Xenopus tropicalis: one gene and its partners. The protein of the gene in region 1 purifies or fractionates together with the protein of each later gene. This does not show direct contact. Links are inferred from orthologs where the notes say so. Each region holds a gene or a part of one and is shown in the gene's direction. Other genes may lie near its edges.

What was found.
Region 2: the proteins of copb2 (region 1) and cope purify together in Homo sapiens (affinity purification with mass spectrometry; 4 studies listed by BioGRID and IntAct, with this or other methods). This does not show direct contact. The link is inferred for Xenopus tropicalis from reciprocal best matches to the Homo sapiens genes COPB2 and COPE.
Region 3: the proteins of copb2 (region 1) and copg2 fractionate together in Homo sapiens (co-fractionation; 4 studies listed by BioGRID and IntAct, with this or other methods). This does not show direct contact. The link is inferred for Xenopus tropicalis from reciprocal best matches to the Homo sapiens genes COPB2 and COPG2.
Region 4: the proteins of copb2 (region 1) and copg1 purify together in Homo sapiens (co-immunoprecipitation; 8 studies listed by BioGRID and IntAct, counting the BioPlex papers as one, with this or other methods). This does not show direct contact. The link is inferred for Xenopus tropicalis from reciprocal best matches to the Homo sapiens genes COPB2 and COPG1.
Region 5: the proteins of copb2 (region 1) and arcn1 fractionate together in Homo sapiens (co-fractionation; 5 studies listed by BioGRID and IntAct, with this or other methods). This does not show direct contact. The link is inferred for Xenopus tropicalis from reciprocal best matches to the Homo sapiens genes COPB2 and ARCN1.
Region 6: the proteins of copb2 (region 1) and copz1 fractionate together in Homo sapiens (co-fractionation; 6 studies listed by BioGRID and IntAct, with this or other methods). This does not show direct contact. The link is inferred for Xenopus tropicalis from reciprocal best matches to the Homo sapiens genes COPB2 and COPZ1.

Annotation. Positions count from the first base shown.
Region 1 is NC_030681.2:128,433,805-128,437,865, reverse strand, and holds the start of copb2 (coatomer subunit beta'), read left to right. Parts: upstream 1-1,261; 5' UTR 1,262-1,283; coding exon 1,284-1,286; intron 1,287-4,061. UniProt on the Homo sapiens protein: The coatomer is a cytosolic protein complex that binds to dilysine motifs and reversibly associates with Golgi non-clathrin-coated vesicles, which further mediate biosynthetic protein transport from the ER, via the Golgi up to the trans Golgi network.
Region 2 is NC_030677.2:112,615,111-112,619,371, reverse strand, and holds the start of cope (coatomer subunit epsilon), read left to right. Parts: upstream 1-1,461; 5' UTR 1,462-1,503; coding exon 1,504-1,602; intron 1,603-1,834; coding exon 1,835-1,897; intron 1,898-2,680; coding exon 2,681-2,781; intron 2,782-4,261. Other genes in the region: probable ATP-dependent RNA helicase DDX49, read right to left, coding at 114-237, 1,188-1,302. UniProt on the Homo sapiens protein: The coatomer is a cytosolic protein complex that binds to dilysine motifs and reversibly associates with Golgi non-clathrin-coated vesicles, which further mediate biosynthetic protein transport from the ER, via the Golgi up to the trans Golgi network.
Region 3 is NC_030679.2:86,687,571-86,691,628, forward strand, and holds the start of copg2 (coatomer subunit gamma-2), read left to right. Parts: upstream 1-1,258; 5' UTR 1,259-1,284; coding exon of another isoform or gene 1,285-1,327; intron 1,328-2,580; exon of another isoform or gene 2,581-2,796; intron 2,797-3,034; exon of another isoform or gene 3,035-3,037; 5' UTR 3,038-3,179; coding exon of another isoform or gene 3,180-3,185; coding exon 3,186-3,222; intron 3,223-4,058. UniProt on the Homo sapiens protein: The coatomer is a cytosolic protein complex that binds to dilysine motifs and reversibly associates with Golgi non-clathrin-coated vesicles, which further mediate biosynthetic protein transport from the ER, via the Golgi up to the trans Golgi network.
Region 4 is NC_030680.2:135,688,518-135,692,675, reverse strand, and holds the start of copg1 (coatomer subunit gamma-1), read left to right. Parts: upstream 1-1,358; 5' UTR 1,359-1,455; coding exon 1,456-1,492; intron 1,493-4,158. UniProt on the Homo sapiens protein: The coatomer is a cytosolic protein complex that binds to dilysine motifs and reversibly associates with Golgi non-clathrin-coated vesicles, which further mediate biosynthetic protein transport from the ER, via the Golgi up to the trans Golgi network.
Region 5 is NC_030683.2:80,549,730-80,552,833, reverse strand, and holds part of arcn1 (coatomer subunit delta), read left to right. Parts: intron 1-26; coding exon 27-238; intron 239-377; coding exon 378-542; intron 543-1,195; coding exon 1,196-1,361; intron 1,362-1,994; coding exon 1,995-2,142; intron 2,143-2,922; coding exon 2,923-3,031; intron 3,032-3,104. UniProt on the Homo sapiens protein: Component of the coatomer, a cytosolic protein complex that binds to dilysine motifs and reversibly associates with Golgi non-clathrin-coated vesicles, which further mediate biosynthetic protein transport from the ER, via the Golgi up to the trans Golgi network.
Region 6 is NC_030678.2:145,584,085-145,588,336, reverse strand, and holds the start of copz1 (coatomer subunit zeta-1), read left to right. Parts: upstream 1-1,452; 5' UTR 1,453-1,540; coding exon 1,541-1,558; intron 1,559-4,252. UniProt on the Homo sapiens protein: The coatomer is a cytosolic protein complex that binds to dilysine motifs and reversibly associates with Golgi non-clathrin-coated vesicles, which further mediate biosynthetic protein transport from the ER, via the Golgi up to the trans Golgi network.

The DNA of each region.
Region 1 (4,061 bases):
TTAAATTGATTTCCTTTTCCTCTGTAATAATAAAACAGCAGCAAGTATTTGATACCAACTAAGACATAATTAATCCTTATTGGATAAAAAAAAAAATCCTATTGTGTCTAATGTGTTATCAAGTTTTTAGTAGACTAAGGGCTCTGGCACACGGGGAGATTAGTCGCCCGCGACAAATCTCCCTTGTCACGGGCGACTAATCTCCCCAAACTACCATCCCACCGGCAAACATGTAAGTCGCCGGTGGGATGGTACACGCTGCGCAGGCGATTTCGGCAAATTGCCGAAGTTGCCTCGTGTGGCATTTTCGGCGATTTGCCGAAATCGCGCTGCCGCGTGTGCCATCCCACCGGCGACTTACATGTTCGCCGGTGGGATGGCAACTGATGGCAACACGGGGAGATTAGTCGCCCGCGAACAGGGAGATTTGTTGCGGGCGACTAATCTCCCCGTGTGCCAGAGCCCAAATTACGGAAAGACCCCTTATCTGGAAAACCCCAGGTCCCAGCATTCTGGATAATGGGTCCTATACCTGTAATATAAAGGGCTCAATGGAGTCCCAGAGAAGTCAACGTTGAAATAAAAATCTCTGGGGAATTTAGTGATTTGATGCTGGCTGATCTGACAGTTAGCGCCCTTAGCACCACTGGCGGGGGGTCTGCGGTCCTCACAGGTGTTCCTTTTTGAGGCAGTCCCTAAACAAATATACATAACGCACTGTAAAGAAACACACAAGGGCTTCATTCCTAACAAGGCAAAGCCGAGACAACGTATACTTCTGAATCTATTATTCTTCCTTCGGCAGGGGCATTAAACCCAATAGCTAATTGGTTGCGACAAGTTAATGCGCCCTGTACTAATCAATAAATAGCGCCACGGATCCACACTGCAACGATGTATTTTATTCACACGTATTGGAAGCGCTTTTGTACTTCCGGGTTTTTCGGCGCTTAATATGCTTTGAACAACTATATTTTCTCATAACGCCCCCTGCCGTACGAAATATAAATTATGTTTTATCACATCTCCCCCTGCCGTCCGAAGAATAAATGAACTCGTTTTTGTTTCAAGCGACACATCTTCCAAACCAGCCCATGGAGCTACTCTCCGAAACCCGCCACGTCACACGCATTCCACTTTACTTCCGCCGCAAGATGGCCGACTTACTTTACTACTGAAGCCTTCTGCAGCCGCCGGAAGTACATGGCTAGCTGGTGTCGCGATAATTCCTTAGGTTCCCGGAAGCTCCACGTCAGTCAGACAGGGACCGAAGAACCGGGGAAATGGTGAGTAAGGCTGTTGAAGGATTAGTATTATAGGTTTATTAAACAACTGGGGCGACGGTAATCATAAATGCATGGTTGTCAGAAGTTGGAAATAAGAAGTTCTGGGATGCTCTGATTGTGTGTCAGTGCGCCGCCCCAGTGTTATAGACTAGTGAGCCCCAAAAGGCATGTCTTGAGCTTGTAACTAATATAACAACCCGACTGTTACTTTCAGCTGCCCTGTTGTATGATTTCCCCTTATAGACATGCTACGTAAGGGCTGCGTTACTGTCTCGATGGTTATAACAATAATTACTACTTAATGTAGGTCCTGTTTCCACATAGTGGCATCTGGAGTGCTAGATCTGGTACTAGATCGGGTACTAGATCTGGTGTTATAAGCCCTCATATGTCATGGCCGGGCACCCTTCCGTATGTGGCCTCTCTGCTGGCCAACTCACAACTCTCTGTAGCCCCATTGTAATTACTATTGGAAGTGGAGTTTAAAGTGAATCTCCTCCAAAAACCTCTCTCTTTATATTCTTTGCACTTCTGTCTAAGGGTGAAGACACACTAGTACGGTAGCAGCTACTTTTTCATGGCTACTAAACTCCAGAAAATCCCCTGCCATGGACAATACTGAGAATTGCCTCTGCTAAAACACACATAGACAGTTATCGGTAAATGATCAGTACTGTCTATTTTAGTAGCTGTGACAAGTAGCTGCAACTAGTAGCTTCGTGTGTCACCCTAACTGATCACAGAACCTGGTAGAACCAGAAAGAAACTTGTGCAGCAGTGTTTCAAGAGTCAGACCCAGAACAGAAAGGGATTTTAAAAAAAAACAGCTCTTTGTGATTGCAGTGACATTTACAGATGTTTTAAACAATTGAAATTGTATCATTTTGTACATATATTGGATCGTTCTTAGAATTACACTTTTTCTCATTGTGCAAAGAAAGTTTTTTTTTGGGTAGGGATTTCCGTTTTAACAATTAAATTACAGTTATGGCAGTAGATTTTGGGAAAAATGTATGCACGCCCAACTTGTTAAAACATTAGCCCATATTTGTAGTAATACAGCCATTCAGTCCTCAAGGCCTCTGCCCCCATTTATAGCCGGGAATGCTGGGCTGTTAGGTAAAGTGGGCAATTGCTGTGCTGGTCTCTGGCTATTGTCGGCAGGGTATTTTCATACATCTGTATTGGAATCCGTGACAGCAGATAAAAGGCATTCTAACTGCTTTTTCTCCTGAGCATCGCTCCAGTTAATAATGTCCATATGCCATCTGCTTAATTATCCCTTAAAGGTGTAGTTTACCGTTAAGTTATGTTATAGTATGCCATAGAATGGCTTATTCCTAGCAATCTTTTAGTTGGTCGTCTTTTTTTTGTATAGGTTTTAAATATTTGTCACCTTCTACCTCTTTCCAGCTTTCAGAAGTGGGGTCACTGACCCCTGCAGCCTAAAAATGACTGCTTTTGAAGCTATAATTCTGTTGTTATTACTACTTTTTATTTTTTTATGTTTAGGCCTCTCTCATTGATCTTAGTCTTTCATTTACTCCACTTACTATCTGGTTGCTAGGGTAAATTGGACCCTAGCAACCAGGTAGCTGCTGAAATTCCTAACTGGGGGGATGCTAGACAAAACCCTAAATATAAAATATCAATACATGACTGCATATTGTTTACACCCTGTTGGAGTTTGGAGAAAGCTGAATATAATACAGGATAAATATGAATAAACCCATACCTGTATAAATGTACAGTTTGTTACCTTGCGCCTTAAATGGTATTTTGTTTTTGTTTGTTTTTTTTAAATTGTATGTATGCTGACTTGTAGATGAACAGGCTAGTGCAGTATGTATATGGATTTGAAAGGGATATTTTACACCAGAGTTTCACAAACTGTGAGGCCAGGGTCACTTGTAAGTCCTGTGAGTGGGCTCTTTGCTCCCATATGAGGCATCAGATGAATGAATTGCCAAACGTTTTGTTCTGTAATTAGACATGGAATTCCATTTGTTGTTGTTCTTACACATTTTTTTGTGTTCTGTAAAAATGCATATAACAGTATAACTTGTATGTGCATGTAAAGCTAACTATAATTAATTGGACATTGACTATGATAGGTAACAAAGGCTTGGCTAAAAAAGCACTTAAAGGAACAGTAACACTAAAAAATGAAAGAGCTTTAAATTAATAAAAATATAATGCACTGTTGCCCTGCACTGGTAAAACTGGTGTGTTTGCTACAGTAACACTACTATAATTTATATAATAAGTTGCTGTGTAGCCACGGGGGCAGCCATTCAAGCTGGAAAAAAGGAGAAAAGGCACAGGTTACATAGCAGATAACAGATAAGCTCTGTAGAATACAATAGTGTTTTATCTGTTATCTGCTATGTGCCTGTGCCTTTTCTCCTTTGAATGGCTGCCCCCATGGCTACACAGCAGCTTATTTATATAAATTATAGTAGACTTTCTGAAGTAAACACACAACTTTTACCAGTGCAGGGCAGCAGCACTTTATATTTTAGTTACTTTTATACACTTTCATTTTTTGGTGTTACTGTTCCTTTAAATAACTGAGTGGGTGCCAATGTGTTAGCCATGCCTCACTGACTCCAAACGCTTAAAGGAACTGTTCACCTTTGTGTTAACTTTTAGTATGATGTAGAGAGTAATATTCTAAGACAATTTGCTATTAGCGTTTTTTTTAATTATTTCACTTTTTGTTGAGCAGCTCTCCTGTTTGGAATTGCAGCAGGTATCTGGTTGATATGGACATAT
Region 2 (4,261 bases), on another chromosome or scaffold:
ATCTGTTGTTCATTGTAGGGAAAGACCATAATTTTTGCTCTACCACAATATTACTTTTTTTCTCTTTAATGAGAAAATTATACAATAACTATTATAATAGCATCTGTACTCACCGAGTTGGTGTCAGAACCAGGCAAAATATTCCAAAGGGATCCTCAGAGAGTTTTTGGAGAATAGGCAGCACAAAGGCAGCTGTTTTTCCACTGCCAGTCTTTGCACATCCCATGCAGTCTCGGCCTAACAGGACATCAACTTCATGAGTTCTCAACAAAATACAATACATTTTCTGTGCAGATGTTAATGGATAGTTGACCTTTTACCAGGTGGCTTTTTTCCTCTGATACATAATCAGATACATTTAAATCTGCAAACAGCATACACACGCAGACCCTTATTCAGCATACATTTCATCAATAATACAGGCTCACAGAGGCAGAACTGTCTGATAAACGTTCTGCTTTGTTTGAGCTGAGCTCAGGAGAGAAAGTTAGGAGAAAAAATTGAAGCAGACAGCTAGAGCTGAGTTTCTATGGGAACCAGCAATGCCATCTCTTCACTGGCTGCTAGACTGGAGGGCGTATTTTGTAATCTGAGTTTAGTACAACTGAGCATGTCTGGCAAGGCAGGAATCAAAGCAAATTCCCAAGGGGGGGGGGGCGAGTGGGTTACAGGAGGAGAAGGAAATCTAAGTGATTAAGGGGATGTTGCAGCCTTACTATTAACCTCTGGACAAGCAGAGTGGCAGGTATTGAAAGATTTCAAAGAGGCTGTTCACTGATTAAATTTTTGTGTGTGGGGTTTACATGTCCTTTAGATGAATGCAATTATTATGAATCGAACTTAGGTACAAGCAAAACTGTGCACAATATATTTATAAATAGGAATGTAACTATGGAGGAAACTGACGCTTCAAGAGACTGCCGGGGGGCCAGAAGGTAAAAGGGGACCAGTGGGACAGTGACAAAAAAGAAGATTAATACATTTAAATTAAATCTTACTCCTAAATGTTAGGGTTCCCGCAAATTTAGCGCTGCTTTCCTTTAACATATAGTTATGCCATTTACCTTTTGATCACTGGTTTTTCAGATGATTTGTAACACTTATGTAGATGACTTGCTCACCCTGGACAACTCAGATAATCTGCCCCCTTAATCGCGAAGAATCATATTCGCATTCACTAATCTCACCTTCCAGGATGGGCGGGATGCAATTCTCCTGTACAGGACTAGGTTTCAATATGCCCAGTTGGCTACATTGATCGATAAGCCAGGAAGACAACCCAAGCCTCGAAAACCCTTCCATCTTGACACGCGTGATAGCCACTAGCAGCACATTCCGGCGCACAAACTAATGCGTCACACAACTCGCCCTTCTATTGGTCCTTACGGGAACTGACCTTTGGTACTACATCTCCCGCCATGCCTTTAGCTGAGAGGCGGAAGTCGGTAAAGGAAGGCGGAAGTTGTGGAAGCTGGCCGGCTGACGTGTCCGGGATATACAGAAATGGCTGCACAGGGAGAGGTGGACGAGTTATTTGATGTGAAGAATTCTTTCTATATTGGAAGTTACCAGCAGTGCATTAATGAGGCGCAAAGAGTAAAGGTGATTTAACGATTACAGCAAACTGGGTCAGAGAGGCGTGGAGTTATGGCTGAAGGGATATGGATAGTGGACATAGCAGCAATCTTTTTAAATTGGGCATACGTATTGAACAAATATAACGACAGCATGCATGACTGAATCAGGCACAATAACATCTATTATTTTTCTCATGCTAACAATCTGAGGTAAGATGGATAATCAAATAGTAACGTGGGAATATTTTATTTTACAGCCTTCAAGTCCAGAGAAGGAGGTGGAGAGAGACGTTTTCCTGTTCAGAGCATATATAGCCCAGGTGAGAGAGACTCTGTATTATAATCATACATTATTCTCACCCAGCTGTCATTAGTATTGTGAATGTAGCCTTTTTTCCTCCTGCACGTATACCTATAAGTAAAAGAAGCTTTTTATTTCCTCCTGCACTTATACCTATAAGTAAAAGAAGCTTTTTATTTCCTCCTGCACTTATACCTATAAGTAAAAGAAGCTTTTTATTTCCTCCTGCACTTATACCTATAAGTAAAAAAAGCTTTTTATTTCCTCCTGCACTTATACCTATAAGTAAAAAAAGCTTTCTGTTTCCTCCTGCACTTATACCTATAAGTAAAAGAAGCTTTTTATTTCCTCCTGCACTTATACCTATAAGTAAAAGAAGCTTTTTATTTCCTCCTGCACTTATACCTATAAGTAAAAGAAGCTTTTTATTTCCTCCTGCACTTATACCTATAAGTAAAAAAAGCTTTCTGTTTCCTCCTGCACTTATACCTATAAGTAAAAAAGGCTTTTTATTTCCTCCTGCACGTATACCTATAAGTAAAAGAAGCTTTTTATTTCCTCCTGCACTTATACCTATAAGTAAAAAAGGCTTTTTATTTCCTCCTGCACGTATACCTATAAGTAAAAGAAGCTTTTTATTTCCTCCTGCACTTATACCTATAAGTAAAATAAGCTTTTTATTTCCTCCTGCACTTATACCTATAAGTAAAATAAGCTTTTTATTTCCTCCTGCACTTATAACTAAGTAAAAGAAGCTTCTTATTTCTTCCTGGTCTTATGACCTTTTATTTTCCACATGCAGCGCAAGTATGGGGTTGTTCTTGATGAAATTCGGCCAAATACCAACCCTGAATTACAGGCTGTCCGAATGTTTGCAGAGTATCTGTCCAATGAGAGTCGCAGGTATGTGCATTCTACATCTCCAGGGGGCAGATTTATCAAAATTTGAGATTAGAGCTCACTACAGAAAAATTCACTTTTTATTCATTCCTATGGGATTTTTAGAAGCATATTTATCAATGGGCTAAAGTTAGAACTCACCTTTTGATAAATATGCTTCTAAAAATCCCATAGGAATGAAAAGAACATGGGTGAATTTTTATGTATAAATCTTTGAACTCCCATTTTGATAAATCTGGCCCTATGCCTCTCCGTTATATTGTCCCACTCTGTGGCTCTCACCAGAACAACTGGCATATGGCTACTACCAGAAACTCGCTTGACCCTATACAACTAAAACGGTTACCAGATGTGATCATTTGGGTTTCAAGAAATGAGGTCTAGAACCATTGCACTCCCTATAAATATATTAACTTTAGGGGGCACATTTACTAAGACATTTTAAGAAACAGTTGATTTTTGTTTTTTTTTTTTTTACTTCTGTTGAGATTTACGAATGGGTTTTTGCCAGTGCTCGATTTTTCTGATATTGTTTCTCGAAAAATTCTAGTTTTTCAGAAATTTTCCCTGATAAATTTGAGTTTGTCGAAAATAACTCCCATTTTATAAATACAACAATGATCAAGTTTAATTCGAGTTTAATTAGAATTTAAACCATGTCGAGTTTATACTACTTTCAAGTCCAGAAAAAAAAAAAATTTTATTAAATCATTCCCTAAAACTTTTAGGGGAGATCCAACCACAAATAGTAAACAGGTTGGCTTTTCAGAGTCTTCAGATTGGGGAGGGCATATACCAAACTTGTAGAGGGCAAGAACAAAAATCTATATCATAGGCCAGGCTCATATAAACTTAATTTACTAATTAGAAGAAACATTACATCAGCTTAGCTTGATGCATCAGGATAAGTTATGTGACTTTTCTTCTTAATGATTATTTTTTTGAGTGGAGGACACTTTTTTCAGTATGTGCCTTCTGCAAGTGTTGATACATCTGCTTTTAACTTTCATACACTACCGTAGGCTCCCCTAATGGGTTGTGCTGTATAACTGACTATTAGATTTATCAGTGTAGTAAGTAAATGAGAAATCTGGGTATTATATCTGACCAAGCTTAAAGGACAAGGAAAGGCAAAGTCACTTGGGGGTGCCAAAATGTTAGGCACCCCCAAGTGACTTAAATCGCCTACCTTTTACCCCGGGCTGGTGCCCCTGTTCGGGGAGAACAGCACCAGCCCGGGGTAGCTGCAGCGCTTCCTGCTTCGCGTGTTTGTGCATGAGCAGTCGAGTGAAAAAGCTGAACTTTAACAGAGAAGTTGAATTTTTAATCTACTGCGCATGCGCCGGTCGTGGGGTCCCGGCAAAAGGAAGGAGGAACCGCTCGCTACAGGTACCCCGGGCTGGTGCTGTTTTCTCCTAACAGGGGCACCAGCCCGGGGTACAAGGTAAGCAATTAAAGTCACTTGGGGGTGCCTAACATTTTG
Region 3 (4,058 bases), on another chromosome or scaffold:
AGGGTCCACCGGGGCTCCCGCCCAGGGGCCCTGCAGGTGCCCCTGTCGGCCACGTCCCCTAACCCCCCCACCCTGCAGGGGCCCCCACACAAAGTCCTCCCCAAGCACGCATACATTTAACGCAGGGAGGAACAGTCAGGCAGGGGGAGCACCAGGGTCGGACTGGGGGGTGCAGGGCCCACCGGGGCTCCCGCCCCAGGGGCCCTGCAGGTGCCCCTGCCGCGTCCCCTAACCCCCCCAAGGGCCCCCCTAACCCCCCCGAAGGGCCCCCGCCTGACGTCCTCCCCGAGCGCGTATAAATTGAACGCGTCGGGGAGGAACAGTCAGTAGCGGGGAGCGCCGGCAAAGGTCGGACTGGGCCGCTGGGGCCCACTAGGGCCGGGGCCCACCGGGATTTTTCCCGGTGTCCCGGCGGCCCAGTCCGACCCTGGGGAGCACTGGCAAGGGTCGGGTTTGGGCCGCTGGGGCCCACTAGGACCGTGGCCCAAGAAAAACCCTGTAGCTTTTATAAGATTTATTTATAATGTCAAAGTGCCTAAAAAATTGAGATGCCAACTGAGGTAATTTTGCAGAGAAAATACTGCCAAAAATGCTTGGAGCCAATTGGTAAATGTCCTAGCAGTTGGCCCCCTTCTAGTCTCCCCGAACATAACTTTTTATGAAATCCTTTGCTGCAGGCAATAACTATAAAGTTTCCACATAATACCGCCCTGCATCAGACTAATGCAAACCTAAAGGCGTAGGTTGCCATACAATGGCAACTTTTAAACAAACTTCAGGTACTCCTGTGCCTGTCAGAGCAGGGACTACACCAGGAGTGACACTAAAGCAGACTGTACAAAAGACACATGACATAACTATTGAGTGGCACTGGCTGACCCTCAGCAAGCATCTGTTGTAAAGGTACATAAGGGGGGGATGCTGCTTTTCTCGCAGGAGACCCACTAGCAGCAGCGATCTCAGATACTGTTGGCTGACTGAGCTGGAGCTCCCTGCTGCAAGGGGCGATGAAAAAAGGCCAGTCTGCGCAAGCAGAATCAAAAGCACTGAGCAGGACTCTACCCATAAGGTTCCCTGTAGGCATGTGTTTTTGTGGCCGCTGTTGCTTTATGAACTCTTACTGTCACTTGTTTCTCACAGCAGCACGCCTCTTCCTGTGTTGCCTGACAACCACTCACTGCCCCTGAGAAGGAGGGGAGCCGGCTTGCTCACGCAGCACGCACAGCCGGGGGGGTGAGAGGGGTGAAACTCTGCCACTGAGATTGGCCTCTAACGTGCCCATCTATGAAAATGATCAAGAAATTTGACAAGAAGGACGAGGAATCCGGTAACAGTGATATATTTTACCTTTTGTTCATATCGGTGTATGCAGAAACAGTCCAATTAGTAAACAGGCCTTAAAGCCTCTGATTTTCCTATAGATGGAAAGCCGCCTCAGCAAATGGCATGTCTGTGCTGGCCAGTGAGGGAGGGCTTGCAGTCTTTCATTGTGGCTTGTGCCACCTGGTTAAATCACACGGTGCTGTATTAGCCATAACAGACACAAGTGGGTTGCTTTTCTCTAACTATAAATGTATATGCCTAATTCATTTGTCCTTATGTATCCAATTTAAAGTGCAGTTCTTCCATGGACATCTGCAAATAGGGGCAAGGAGGGAACTTAATCCCCCCCCCCCATTGAATTTTGGCCTCAAACAGGGCCAGCATCCCTTTCCTAGTTGCCCTACTGCATGTATGGATTAGGATCACAGAAATACTTTTACTGAGTAACCATTGCACCACTGTGCTAGTACCAGGGCTGGAGATACATACACATGTTTCAGGGATAACCCCTTTGTCAAGTGCAAGTTTTAAATGCTCAAGAACCCACCCCCTGATTACATTATCAGCCAGGGTCCCAGTATAAGCACCCTACAACATCAAACAGTGAAGAACTACACAGCAGAATGCTCATGGAGGTTGTATTGCTACTTGCAGGGGTAGATTCTAAGAACAAGAGGCACACAATGCCAAGAGACCGGACAGTCATTTTGGTGTGTTAATAGCGATGTGTGATAATTGGTCTTTATTTATTATGGGCTGTTCCACTGGGGCTGATGGTTAATGCAGTTTGTCACTATTTGATGATGTAATTAAGGGGAGGATACTTATACTGAGATCCTGGCAGTGTGTGCCTCTTGTTCTTAGAAACACCCTCTGCAAGTAGCAGTACAACCTCCATGATTGTTCTGCTGTTCTCCACCCCCTTCCCCTGCAAATATCTCATCTCAAGAATCTTTAGAAGATTACTGACAGAACGAGCAGTTGCACACTGAAAGTGTAAAAGTTCCATTTATTTGTGGCATGTTTCATTTTGGAAAGATTTAATAATCTTTCCAAAAAGGGCATACAGTTGTGAATTGTGTAATATATCAGACATTATATTCTATCTCTATACTGTTAATGGGTAAGTTGATCTTGCAATAAACTTCTGGTATATTGTTTAATGCTATTCTAATGCAATTTGCCAAGTTGGTGTGTCTTAGGCACAAGTCATTAACATCCTAGGTGGCTTGTGGACAAGAAACAAGTAAGAATGTATCCTTAACAAACACATCCCATTACATACCTTGCTCTGCCTAAGTCCCCTCCCCTAGCCCCCTCCTCTCTTTCCCTCCACTGCTCACCCTTCTATTGTTCTACCTGGAGCTGGCCGGGGGAGGGAGCAGGCCCTGCCCGAATGACCATATGGCTAAAGGGGGAAGGGGTCCCAGCCTAAATTCATTTCAGCCCTATTTGGGCTTCATTCACACAAAGGTACATAAGGGGGGGGATGCTGCTTTTCTCGCAGGAGACCTACTAGCAGCAGCGATCTCAGATACTGTTGGCTGACTGAGCTGGAGCTCCATGCTGCAAGGGGCGATGAAAAAAGGCCAGTCTGCGCAAGCAGAATCAAAAGCACTGAGCAGGACTCTACCCATAAGGTTCCCTGTAGGCATGTGTTTTTGTGGCCGCTGTTGCTTTATGAACTCTTACTGTCACTTGTTTCTCACAGCAGCACGCCTCTTCCTGTGTTGCCTGACAACCACTCACTGCCCCTGAGAAGGAGGGGAGCCGGCTTGCTCACGCAGCACGCACAGCCGGGGGGGGTGAGAGGGGTGAAACTCTGCCACTGAGATTGGCCTCTAACGTGCCCATCTATGAAAATGATCAAGAAATTTGACAAGAAGGACGAGGAATCCGGTAACTGATATATTTTACCTTTTGTTCATATCGGTATATGCAGAAACAGTCCAATTAATAAACAGGCCTTAAAGCCTCTGACTTTCCTATAGATGGAAAGCCGCCTCAGCAAATGGCACGTCTGTGCTGGCCAGTGAGGGAGGGCTTGCAGTCTTTCATTGTGGCTTGTGCCACCTGGTTAAATCACACGGTGCTGTATTAGCCATTACAGACACAAGTGGGTTGCTTTTCTCTAACTATAAATGTATATGCCTAATTCATTTGTCCTTATGTATCCAATTTAAAGTGCAGTTCTTCCATGGACATCCGCAAATAGGGGCAAGGAGGGAACTTAATCCCCCCCCCCATTGAATTTTGGCCTCAAACAGGGCCAGCATCCCTTTCCTAGTTGCCCTACTGCATGTATGGATTAGGATCACAGAAAAACTTTTACTGAGTAACCATTGCACCACTGTGTTAGTACCAGGGCTGAAGATACATACACATGTTTCAGGGATAACCCCTTTGTCAAGTGCAAGTTTTAAATGCTCAAGAACCCACCCCCTGATTACGTTATCAGCCAGGGTCCCAGTATAAGCACCCTACAACATCAAACAGTGAAGAACTACACAGCAGAATGCTCATGGAGGTTGTATTGCTACTCACAGGGCTAGATTCTAAGAACAAGAGGCACACAATGCCAAGAGACCAGACAGTCATTTTGGTGTGTTAATAGCGATGTGTGATAATTGGTCTTTATTTATTATGGGCTGTTCCACTGGGGCTGATGGTTAATGTAGTTTGTCACTATTTGATGATGTAATTAAGGGGAGGATACTTATACTGAGATCCTGGCA
Region 4 (4,158 bases), on another chromosome or scaffold:
TTTTGATACCTGACAACCTCTAGCATTTTGAAAACATTCCATCCATTTGGACAAAGATCTCTCCAATTCTACCCTGAATCATTAACCTTGCAAAAAAAAAAAACTTTAAGGGCTGTAACAGACGGCAAGATTAGTCACTGCACAACAAATCTCCCTTGTCATGGGCGACTAATCTCCCCGAAAAACCATCCCACCGGCTAGAATGTAAATCGCCAGTGGAATGGCATATGTGGTGCCACAATTTCCCAAAATCGCCGAAGTTGTCTTGAGAGGAAACTTCTGCGATTTCGGGGAATCGCGGCGCCGCGTATGCCATCCCACTGGCGATTTACATTCTAGCCGGTGGGATGGCATTTCAGGGAGATTAGTTGCCCACGACAAGGGAGATTTGTCACAGGCGACTAAACTCCCCATCTGTCACAGCCTTAAAGAAGAACTAATAGCATTTTTTAATTCTACCCCTGGAGGACGTCTCCCTCCACCCTACCCAATACTGTGGGGTTGGAGGACACCTTCTTGCAGTGGCACAAAGTGACAGCCAGGGCCCCACCCTACCTGCGGTGCTAATTTTGGAACAGGTAAGGCAAATAGGGCAGTATTGAGGGGGCACAGTGTGCATTAAGGATTGCCACCTTTGACCTCAGCAAAAAAACAGACAAAATGTTGGGATGATGACATCAGAGGCAGAGCGGTGACATAAGAGGGTGCAGATGTGATATTTGGAAGTGTATTTGTACATTTTGGGGGCAGGCCTTGACATCAGAGGTGGTTAGTGGCCAGATTATTGTTTTGGTTTCACAAGGCTGAATCCCAGACAGTTAAGATCCAAATAGCCCTAAGTAAAGCTGAACTGTGCAGGTCAACAATAAACAAGTGGCAACTCTATGTGCATGTCAAAAGAGGAGAGATCCATTCCATAGGTACTACTTATAAAAATGCTTTTATTTGCCTTTATTTAAACGTCAAAATGAATAATACAATTACACAAGAATCCTGCCTCCCTGTACGAATATTGTGATTTATATTTACCTGTAAAGCATTAAAAATCTGAATACATATTAGAAAGTTGCTTAGAACTGTATTTCCTTTCAACAGGCCAAGTTTTATTTTTGGGCTTACATCGTTTTAGAAAGTTACTTGGACTTCCAAGCAACTTTCTAAGGCGATGTAAACTCAAAAATAAAAACCTATTTTGCCTGGCTCATACTTTTCCTCGAACTTCCGGTGTACATTTGTCCCTTATTGCGTGCGCTATTCACAAGCAGTTCCGGTTTCAATTCAGTCGCTTCCGCTAACAGTGCGCATGCGTTGAACAAGCATTTACCGTTCTAGGCATGCTCTGTCCGCGCCAATCGCACTGCTTGTTAGTGCGCATGCGTAGGTTACGTTGTCAGGAGTGACGTGTCCCGGTGACAGCCTGGCAGGAAGTGGCCTGGTTCTGACTGAGGGGCAGAGATGCTGAAGAAGTTCGATAAAAAGGATGAGGAGTCGGGTGAGTGATATGGGGGGTTTGCACTATTGTGTCGCGTTTTATTTATTGCCCTTATATGTCTGTTTAAATGGCGAACGCTGTCACTGGCCCACACCGGCAGCAGGGAGTGCATGGTACTCAGGCCCCTGGCTCTGTGTGGGGATACACTGGCAGCCATGCAAAAGGCAGAACCCAAGAGGGACGGGTTGTGCAGTTCAGTGGAATCCAAGCCCGTGTCTGTGACCTAGGAAGGCATCAGGTGTGTGCTACACTGGTAGAACAGCTGGACGGGGCCCTAGCGTTACTCTAATAACTCTCACAATACCTATACATCGGGTCTACACCAGGAATCCCATAAAGCCTGCTGGGATTGGTCGTTTTAATAAGAAAGGCCATATTGGATATGTCTGTTCTAGGGCATTCCTTCATGTTGTAGGAGTTACTATATATTTAATTCAGAGTATTGGGGAGCCTGTACCCAGTGTGCTAGTAACAATGTAAATTAAAGCTGGAATACTGGCCGTGCCCTTGTGTTTTAGAGCCACCACCTTATTCTGTTCTTGGCAGTCCATTACACTGCTGCCCATAAGGTGCATCTGTTTGCAAATGCAGCCCCATGCTAGTTAATGGGTATGCTTTGAATCATATTAACCCCCCGATACCAATAGGTTATAGATATAAAACTGTATGTGGGAAAAATGCCTTGTGAAAATTTGCATGCCGAATGCACACGTGCAAAATGGGCGCAGGGTGTAAACATAAAATGGCATGGCCTAATCCATTTAGAGAGAAGCAGGTATGGTTCAGCTCTGTATTATATGTTGTATTTGCCAGGGCTGAGTAATTAAGCACCTTCTTTAAAGGTGCCCATACACAGGCCGACTATAGCTGCCGATATCGGTCCCTTGGACCGATTCGGCAGCTAATCGGCCCGTGTATGGGCAGAACAGAGCTGCCTGGCCGACCAATATCTGGCCTGAAATTGGCCAGATCTCGATTGGCCAGGTTAGAAAATCCGGTCGGATCGGGGACCGCATCGGCTCGTTGATGCGGTCCCCGAACCGACTGCCCCATAAGCTCAAATGTAATCCGATTGTTGAACAATCGGATTATTTTTTTTTCAAGTCCCTTGCTACCCGATATCGCCCACCCGTAGGTGGGGATATCGGGTGAAGATCCGCTCGCTTGGTGACATCGCCAAGCGAGCGGATCTTATAGTGTATGGGCACCTTAAGGCTGAAGTTATTTTAGTGATATTCCGTCCATATGTTTGTACATCAATGTAAGAGCTCTGTGTTTGTTGCCATCAGCAACTGCACCGCAGTTTTGTATGTGCTGTTTATCATTTGTACTATTTTATTATAAATTTAAGAATGTTGCAGTTTTCCTTAAGGCTTTTTATCTCCCATCAGCATCTAGATATATTATTATTTAACCAATAAACAAAAGTCTCTTCCATTGTACATCAAAGAAGCCAGCAGGGCTGTGGAGTTGAAGTCGGAGGCAATTTTGAGTACCTGGAGTCCGCGGCAATTTTGAGTACCTGGAGTCGGCAAAAAATGAACCAACTCTGACTCCTACTAAATTTAAATGGGAATAAAAAAAAAAAAAGCAAGTTTAAATGTCCCAATTCACAAACAGTCATAATTAATTACTTCTCTGCTATAAGAATAAAGCCCAATGCAGAGCCAGTAGTTCTGTGGTTAAATGACATGTATGTCTCCTTCCTTTCATTCAATGAATGTATAAAATACATTAGCATATTAAAAACAGTCGGAGTCGGAAGTATCAGAAACTGAGGAGTCGGAGTCGGAGAATTTATCTACCGACTCCACAGCCCTGGAAGCCAGTACTTGTATGATCTAGGTCCTATAATGACGCCTGTGGATACCTTACTGAAACTACCCTGATATTGTCATCAGTAATTAATGGGCCGCATACTGCCAAGTAGGCCTCTGGGTGGTGAGCCATGACAGCAAATAGAATGGGGCTTATTGCCGCTTATCTGCATCAGCCACACCCCTTTATGCCAAAACCTCACCGATAGTATGAACAAACCTTGCCCACTCCATGTTAGACTCACATCTTCATGTTGGGTACCCTTCTACCATAGGGCCCCTGATAGGATTACCTCTCATGGTGGCCCTGAGTAGACTTAGTATAATTTACTTTTCAATTGGTCTTCATTATCTATGTGTTTGTATGTTTTTTGTTTTTTTTTTCTCTTTCCAGCCTACAACTAAAAAAATGTGGTGTGGTAGTCACTTAACTTTGACACTGTAACCAGATACACTGTGCAGTTTTATTGCTCTTTTTTCTTTTTATAGTGTCTAGTATTTATTTCAAGTTTGATTTTAAAACATAACTTAATTTTGTGTGCAGGTCAGACTGGGGAAGTACAGGCCTCCTCTGCTTCAGAAGTGTTCCTCTCTTAAAACCAGAGGCGCACTCAGAAGTAGTGTACGGAGTGGAAAGACACTGGTACAGGTTGGGTGCGGGTCCTACAATGGCAGTATTTTATGACTTGGGGTCAGGGTGGAGCTTTTCCTGACCTGCTCATTATTAATGCATGCTGTGGGCTAGGATTAAAACCAACCTACTAATCAACCCAAGTGTAGAAAGCCTGAAATCACTACATGATTTGCAATACATTATTTGCATTTATTTAAATAATGTGCCTATGTTAT
Region 5 (3,104 bases), on another chromosome or scaffold:
CACCTTTCTTTCTGCACTCTTTACAGACACAGGAAAGAGAAGCCAAGGCAGAGATGCGACGCAAAGCCAAGGAGCTTCAGCAGGCTAGAAGGGATGCAGAGCGGCAGGGCAAGAAGGCTCCTGGATTTGGAGGGTTTGGAAGTTCGGGTGGTTCCTCCATGTCTAACAATGCAGTTTCGCTGATTACAGAGACCATTATAGAACCAGAGAAAACAAAGAGTGCCCCTGTTCCATCACGGTATACAAGCAAAATACAATTGTAAAGTGTTATTGCAAACCAAATGAACTGTATAATATTTAAAATGATGGAATGGGAATTGTAGAATTATGGCTTTAAAAAGGTTTTTATGTGCAACATATTGTCTTGCCCCCTGTAGGCCATCTGGTTCTGGCAAAGCCCTGAAACTTGGAGCTAAAGGGAAGGAGGTGGATAACTTTGTGGACAAATTAAAATCTGAAGGAGAAACTATTGTCACCCCTTCATCTGGCAAGAGGCAGTCAGAAGTGGCCAAGGTGCTTGCTCCTCCCGTGAACATGGAGAGGTCAGTGTTGGGAATTTATGGGGACAGGAAGTCTGATATTTTGTAATATCAGTTGTGGTGAAAGAGGTTTTATCCAGTATTTTCTTTGTATATATAAAAACAGTTATTTATGCTCAGTATTTTGCATTTCTTATAGAAATTAGATTGTGTGATTTAAGTGGGAAGAATTCAATATTTGTTTTCTCAACATTTGAAGAAAGGCTAGCAAAGGCAGAACAATCAAAACTTCACAAATTATTACAAAAGGTGCGATTTATTTGATGACCGTATCCCTTTAGCATTCACATTTGTTGAGAGGGGATGAAATGCACCATTTTAGAGAAATCCATTTATTGATTAAAAGCTCTATTCTCTGTTATAAACTTCTATGCTGTATGTATACAGTTTGCAACAGCTTTTTAGATTTTTATGTTCGAGCTGCCTGTAGCAAACCAACATTTTGGCAGCTTATTATTTAACATGTTATAAATTGTTGGTAACCACTCTCATGTTAAAGGACTTACCACAATAGCAAACTTAGTAAAACTTTAGTATTTTGTGCTAGAATCCCTACCTCTGCTTTGCATCTCCCAACAGGGTCTTTGATTTTTCTTTTGGTGAGCAGATTTGTGCTGTTTTTGACTTCTGAGTATATTCTTTATTTTCATCTACAGTGTTCACTTGAGGGTTGAAGAAAAAATTTCCCTTACTTGCAGCCGGGATGGAGGACTTCAGAATATGGAGGTTCACGGGCTGATTATGCTCAGAGTGACAGATGATAAGTTTGGCAGGATCCGTGTGCACATTGAAAATGAAGATAAAAAAGGAGTACAACTGCAGGTTAGGAAGCATCTGTATTTGAATTACTGAAATAAACTGTCTTTCATGGTTCACAAATGGATTAAAGGAAAAGTCAATCGAAAATATATTTTTTTGCCTGATAAAAGAAAAAATTGTAAGCAACTTTGCAATATACATTCATTACTTTACCTTTTCTATTATTTTCCCTGGTGGCTCTGGCATTTGAAACAATGTAACACATGCCAGCAGACTGACAGACCTGTCTTGCTGGAGCAGACTGACCTTTGCAACATTGTTTAAAAAGTAAATGCTGCTTTCAATAGCAATTTAATTTATAAAATTTTTCAATTAAAAAAAAACTTTCACATTGGAAAGTTGCCTGGAATTATGTTTTCTTTAATTAGGCAAAAAAATTTTTTGAGGGTTTTCAAGTCCTTTAATATGAGAATTGAATGATCAAACAAGTATACTAAACATTTGTATAACATGCTTAGTACACTGCTTTACAGTTGTACTGAATAGTGCTTGTTTGTAAATTAAATGATTGGTTGCATGGCTGAAAAACTAAGAGCTGAAGCTCCAGTTTTAAATGGTCAAAACTTTTTGTAGACAGTCTAAGGTTATGGATGGCTGCTACATATTGTTTTGTATAACTTCGCTTTCTTGTCTCAGACTCATCCCAATGTGGACAAAAAACTTTTCACTTCGGATTCGGTAATTGGGCTGAAAAACCCAGAAAAATCCTTCCCTCTGAATAGTGACGTGGGTGTCTTGAAGTGGAGACTGCAGACCACAGATGAGTCTTTTATTCCCCTCACCAGTAAGTACTGTGTTTTAACATTCAGTGTGCTATTATGCAGGACAGTATTAACTGCAGATCCTTTCATGTACACTTTTACGTGGTTTAAGGTTGCAGACAGGACATCCAAATTCAAACTATAGTCAATTGTTCTAATACACACTCAGTAATAGGAATAATTAGCTGTACACAGCATGTAAGATACAAAAAGTATATGTTGGTAAAGTGAAAAAAACATGCATTTATTTCTCATAATATAAACTTCAGCAGTGCAGGCTAAAGGAAAAAAAATAAAAAAATAAAATGCTTTAAAATGCTGTTTTTTATACCAACCGTACAACACCTGGCGAAGATAAAAACAATAATCCATGCCTTCAAATTTCTATGCAGCAGCTCCCCATCTGCTCATTAGGCAAATTTTTGAGTGTAAGTGACACCGCAAATGCTAAGGGCAAGGGCACACAGTATGTATAGATCCGCTTCTCTCGGTCCTGCTACAGTACAGTAGCTGCCTAATGTGGGCACGCAGAGCTCATCGAAGGTCGGCCTGGAAAACAACTGCTTTCACATTTATCAGGCCCACATCTGACATTTTTGGCAAACTAAATATTTTCAAACTATTTTTTTATTTTGCTCAGCCTATCTAGTTACCCAGTTTTATTTTTACACTGAACTGTTCCTTTAAAGAACAGACTGTACAGTTGCCATCTAGCAAATGCATTGAATGTTTGTGAAATTAATTAAATACAGTTGCTAACAAAACTTTTTAATATGTGTTCAAATGTCTTTTTCTTACCTTAGTTAACTGTTGGCCATCAGAAAGTGGGAATGGCTGTGATGTTAACATAGAATATGAACTCCAGGAAGAAAGGCTGGAACTGAATGATGTTGTCATTACCATTCCTCTACCGTAAGTGATTCTAACAAGGCACAATATAAAGCAATTTAGATAGTAAATATGGGTTTAGCAATTGATTCTCATT
Region 6 (4,252 bases), on another chromosome or scaffold:
TTAGAGGGGCCATCCACAGTTTACTATGTAGATTCACCCCCCCCCCCTTTTTTGTCTTTCTTGCTTGATATCGACCAGGCAGGATCACTCAAGAGCTCCATATATGGGCCAATGAACAATTAAGTGTATTAATGATAACGTTATCTATTGTATTGAATGCCTGTGTGGCCTTCAGTAAATAGGGAAAAGGAATAGGTAGTTATTAGAATGAAAAAACTAACATACAGAAATATTAGTAAAGGTTTATAAACTAGAGTTTCCAAATCTCGAACTCAAATATCTAAATAGGGATTCAATATTGGAAAATGATTAATGTTAAAATAGGGGGCTGTGAGATATTATAAGAATAACCAGGGCTGCCATTGCTATGTGGGGAAAGTTACGCAAATTGCCTAACGTACATATAAAGTTATGGCAAAACTAAATCAATTTACGTAACTTAAACCTGCCTAGAAACTTGTGTAACTTGCATAAAAACTTGCGTACAAGCAAAAGACAATGCAGAGAAGGGAAAACTCCAGTAACCACCAATGAATGGTAAATTCTACCTCCCCCAATGAACTGACTTATTAGCACATTAATTATTCATTTTAACCATTTATATGAACTGCTTATTATAGAGTAATATCTCTGTTTTTATTTGGGATCTATTTACTGAATTCTATGAGTATTCTTTACATTAACTTTTCAGCAGTGGAATGACTGGTTATTGGGCCCCACAGCAACATCATTGGCCCCCTACGCTTATGCAAGTTACTTTGAGAAAACTTACATTTAAACTGCACTGACCCCTAATGAAAAGATTCACTTATTAGCACATTATTATTTTTACTGCTTTAAAAAAGTAAAGTAAGTAGTTTTCTCCAGAAAAGGTGGAAACCCTAACCCCTTTGCATCACCCACGTCCCCATACATATCTCTCCTTACATCCTAATTATGCTTATGTGTTTTCCTTTTTGTTTCCTCTTGTTGTTTGGGTACAAAATCCTGTATATAAGAACCAACATTGCTTCTTTGTAATCAGCTTTGGTGAAGGAACTCTTTGCTGAGATTATCATCTTAGGCAGCCAATACCCACAACACATCTACGCCACTTTTGTTATGCTTCATGTCAGAAGTTTCACACTACAACTTTTTCAACTGGCTAACATAGTGCAGAACACTGGATTGGAACCAAGAGCACTAAGCACAGTTTTTACGCAAAGTCAACCGACCTATCAATTCATTCCAATGTCCGAGCTGTAGCGTAACAGCAGGGTGGAGCTTTAAACTATTAGTGACACAGTAATTTACATCTATTTCCTCCGCCATGGTAACCATTTGCCCAATAAAAGCAGCTTCCGCTTCCAACGTAGACGCATTCGTGTTCCGCCTGTCAGTGACTGAAACCATCAACCAATTAAAAAGCTTTAGACGCTATTAGCCACACCCTTCTTCTTCCTGTTCCAATCAGACTGAGCGAGGAGGCGCGGCTAAAGTTTTGATTGGCAGATGAATTAGCCAACGCGCGCTTTGCTCCACGTCAGCAGGATAGAGAAAGATGGATGCTATACTGTTGGTGAGTGAGGCCGCGGAAATAGCTTTGATTTTAGTGTGAGGGGGCCGGTAAAACTTTATTTTTCTATGGTGGTTGCAATCGTTTGTTTAGCTGGCCAGGCTGCTGTGTAGGGACAGGGGACGAGTGGTTAGGGTCTGTCAGTGGCAGGCTTTGGGCTGTGACTCCCAGCATACGTTCAAACGCTAGGGTAGCTATTCATTTTGGGACCTGTAGGAGATATCGTGCAGCAAAGTAGTTACTTTTTGTCATTCAGGGATGTTGCACCTGAGCCTTACGCCATGGTGAGCCTGTGCCAGGGACCCCCTATTGAATGGCAGGACTGGGCAAGGGCTGCTGGCACAGAAATAATAAAAAATATCTGGTAGTGACATTTTCTGAATATAGTGTGCCAAACTCTATAGTGCTATACCCCTTCTGATATTCCTTGTGTGGGTGTGTGTTTCCTTCCTAATCTGCCTGATTTTTATGTAGAAATAGTAGTAGTAGTAATAGTAAATAGTAGTAGTAATAGTAGTAGTAGTAATAGTAGTAATAGTAAATAGTAGTAGTAGTAATAGTAGTAGTAGTAGATGATTGATTGGGCTTTTAAGGAAAAAGAAAGGTGTCTGGGCTATTCTGAAATCTCTTTGGGTTAGACTGGACAGGCCTGGCGCTTATGCATGTCAGATTGTTGCTATTAGTCTATTTGCAGTTTAACAACAGCAGTTGGGCTATGGCTGATGGTAGAAGAAATATAGAACAGTTTTAACACAATACAATATCTGTATCAGGCATTTAAACTCTTAACAATTTTTTTTTGCAGGATTTTGTTTCCCATGGGGTATTGCATATCCCAGATATAGTTTTATAGAATCTCTCTTTACAGGTTGTGATTAAAGGGTATTGTATTGGGTAAAAACAAGAAAGTTCTAGTGCATTATGCACCTCAAAATCTAGAATAAATGTGCTGAGAAGTTTTTGGCCGATTTATTGAAAATGTATCCAAAACCCTACTAGTCCTACCCATTTTTTCCACTTCCCACTGCCTTCTTTCCCAGACCTGATAGGGAACTGAAATCGTCATTTGCGTGTGTGATTGGCTATGCCCCTCCTACTGTGCTTCTGGCAGGGACCATTAGGACATACCCCCCCCCCCCCCACCACCACTTGAAACATGGACAGGCAGATCCATAGGAAGCTTTAATAAAAAGGCCATTTTGTAAAGCTAATGATTATTTTTATCTCAGAGTGAAACCTGAAACCAGCACCATATATTTCATTTATGCTATATGTCTACTTTAAACTTAGTGTTTGCCGTGTTTATCTACTTTTGAGTGACTGTTCCCCCAAATATTGACGCATGGCATGTAAGTTTCTTGAAAGAAATTCATTAGGAAGCTTTAATAAAAAGGCCATTTTTAAAGCTAATGATTATTTTTAGCCCAGAGTGAAACCAGCACCATATATTTCATTTATGATATATGTCTACTTTAAACTTAGTCTTTGCTGTGTTTATCTACTTTTGAATGACTGTTCCCCCAAATATTGACACATGGCATGTTAGTTTCTTGAAAGAGAATCATTGTATAAAGAGGTTGTTTGGGAATTGAGAAGAACAGGTAACATCTGCTAGCAGAGTCAATGACACCTTGATAGGGACTAACTCAGTAAAGAATTCATACATGCCTGAATCTATGCTCTGTTTTTATTACTATTCCATGTTTCTTCCTTTTATATATTCCCTTTAACAAGAATATCATACATTGCTGTCTTTGAACAGTAGCATAAATTATATTCTCAGTCAGCACCCTAGGCATAAACTGAACAGAACAACTAAAAACCAAATAGTTTAATACTGACAGTATCAGTTACCACTCACAAATTGGAAAGTGAACGTGTCCATCAACCACAAATAAAAGGTAGAACCAGAACAGGCATTAAGTGCTAACGCTTTCCAAACTCCAGGTATAGCACAGTAAATTGGCTCCTTTGTGTTTGGACAAACATGCAAATAATGACTTTCCTATGGTAAGTGGTAAACCATTAATTGAATTCAGGGTCATCGGTGTTTCCCAAGGGGCATCCTCGTCTGGTGGTTGAACTATAAGATGACTGAAAAGCAGGGACAACGTGCTAAATATAGTTTGTTATTGAAATATAAAATGGAATATATTGCATTTATCTAACTAAAAGCATCATGCGCATTTCTAATACAGAGAGGTAGTTTAACAGGTTTCCCCAGAAGAACAGTAGATAGTGGGTATCCAACCCCAGCTCTGATTCACACAGGGAACATTATTTGCAGTTCCCTCTCAGGTCTGTCTAGCTGCTGATTGAATGGCATCCTACAATGCAAGTGCTGAGTGCCACATAATCTCCTTCTCAACCTGGGAAAGCAGCAGCTCAATTCGGTGAATGGTGCTAGCAAGTTTTTTACATTTACGTAACTTTTTCAGCAACACCAAAGGAAACTTAAAGGTACATACATGTATTTAGAAGTGTATAATGCAATGAAAAAATGCTTCTTCTTGACACCATTTGTCCCCTTTAAGTATAATGTGAGAGGTCTGCTGGATTTCAAGCCTTTCCCAAAAAATATTGTCTACCTGGATTTAGAATTTTCAGTGTCAATTTTAACCTGGAGGATAAGCCCCAGCAAGGATTTTCCTTCTGTTACTTTTATTACAATTGAATAATCAGAGTGAATTACTAATT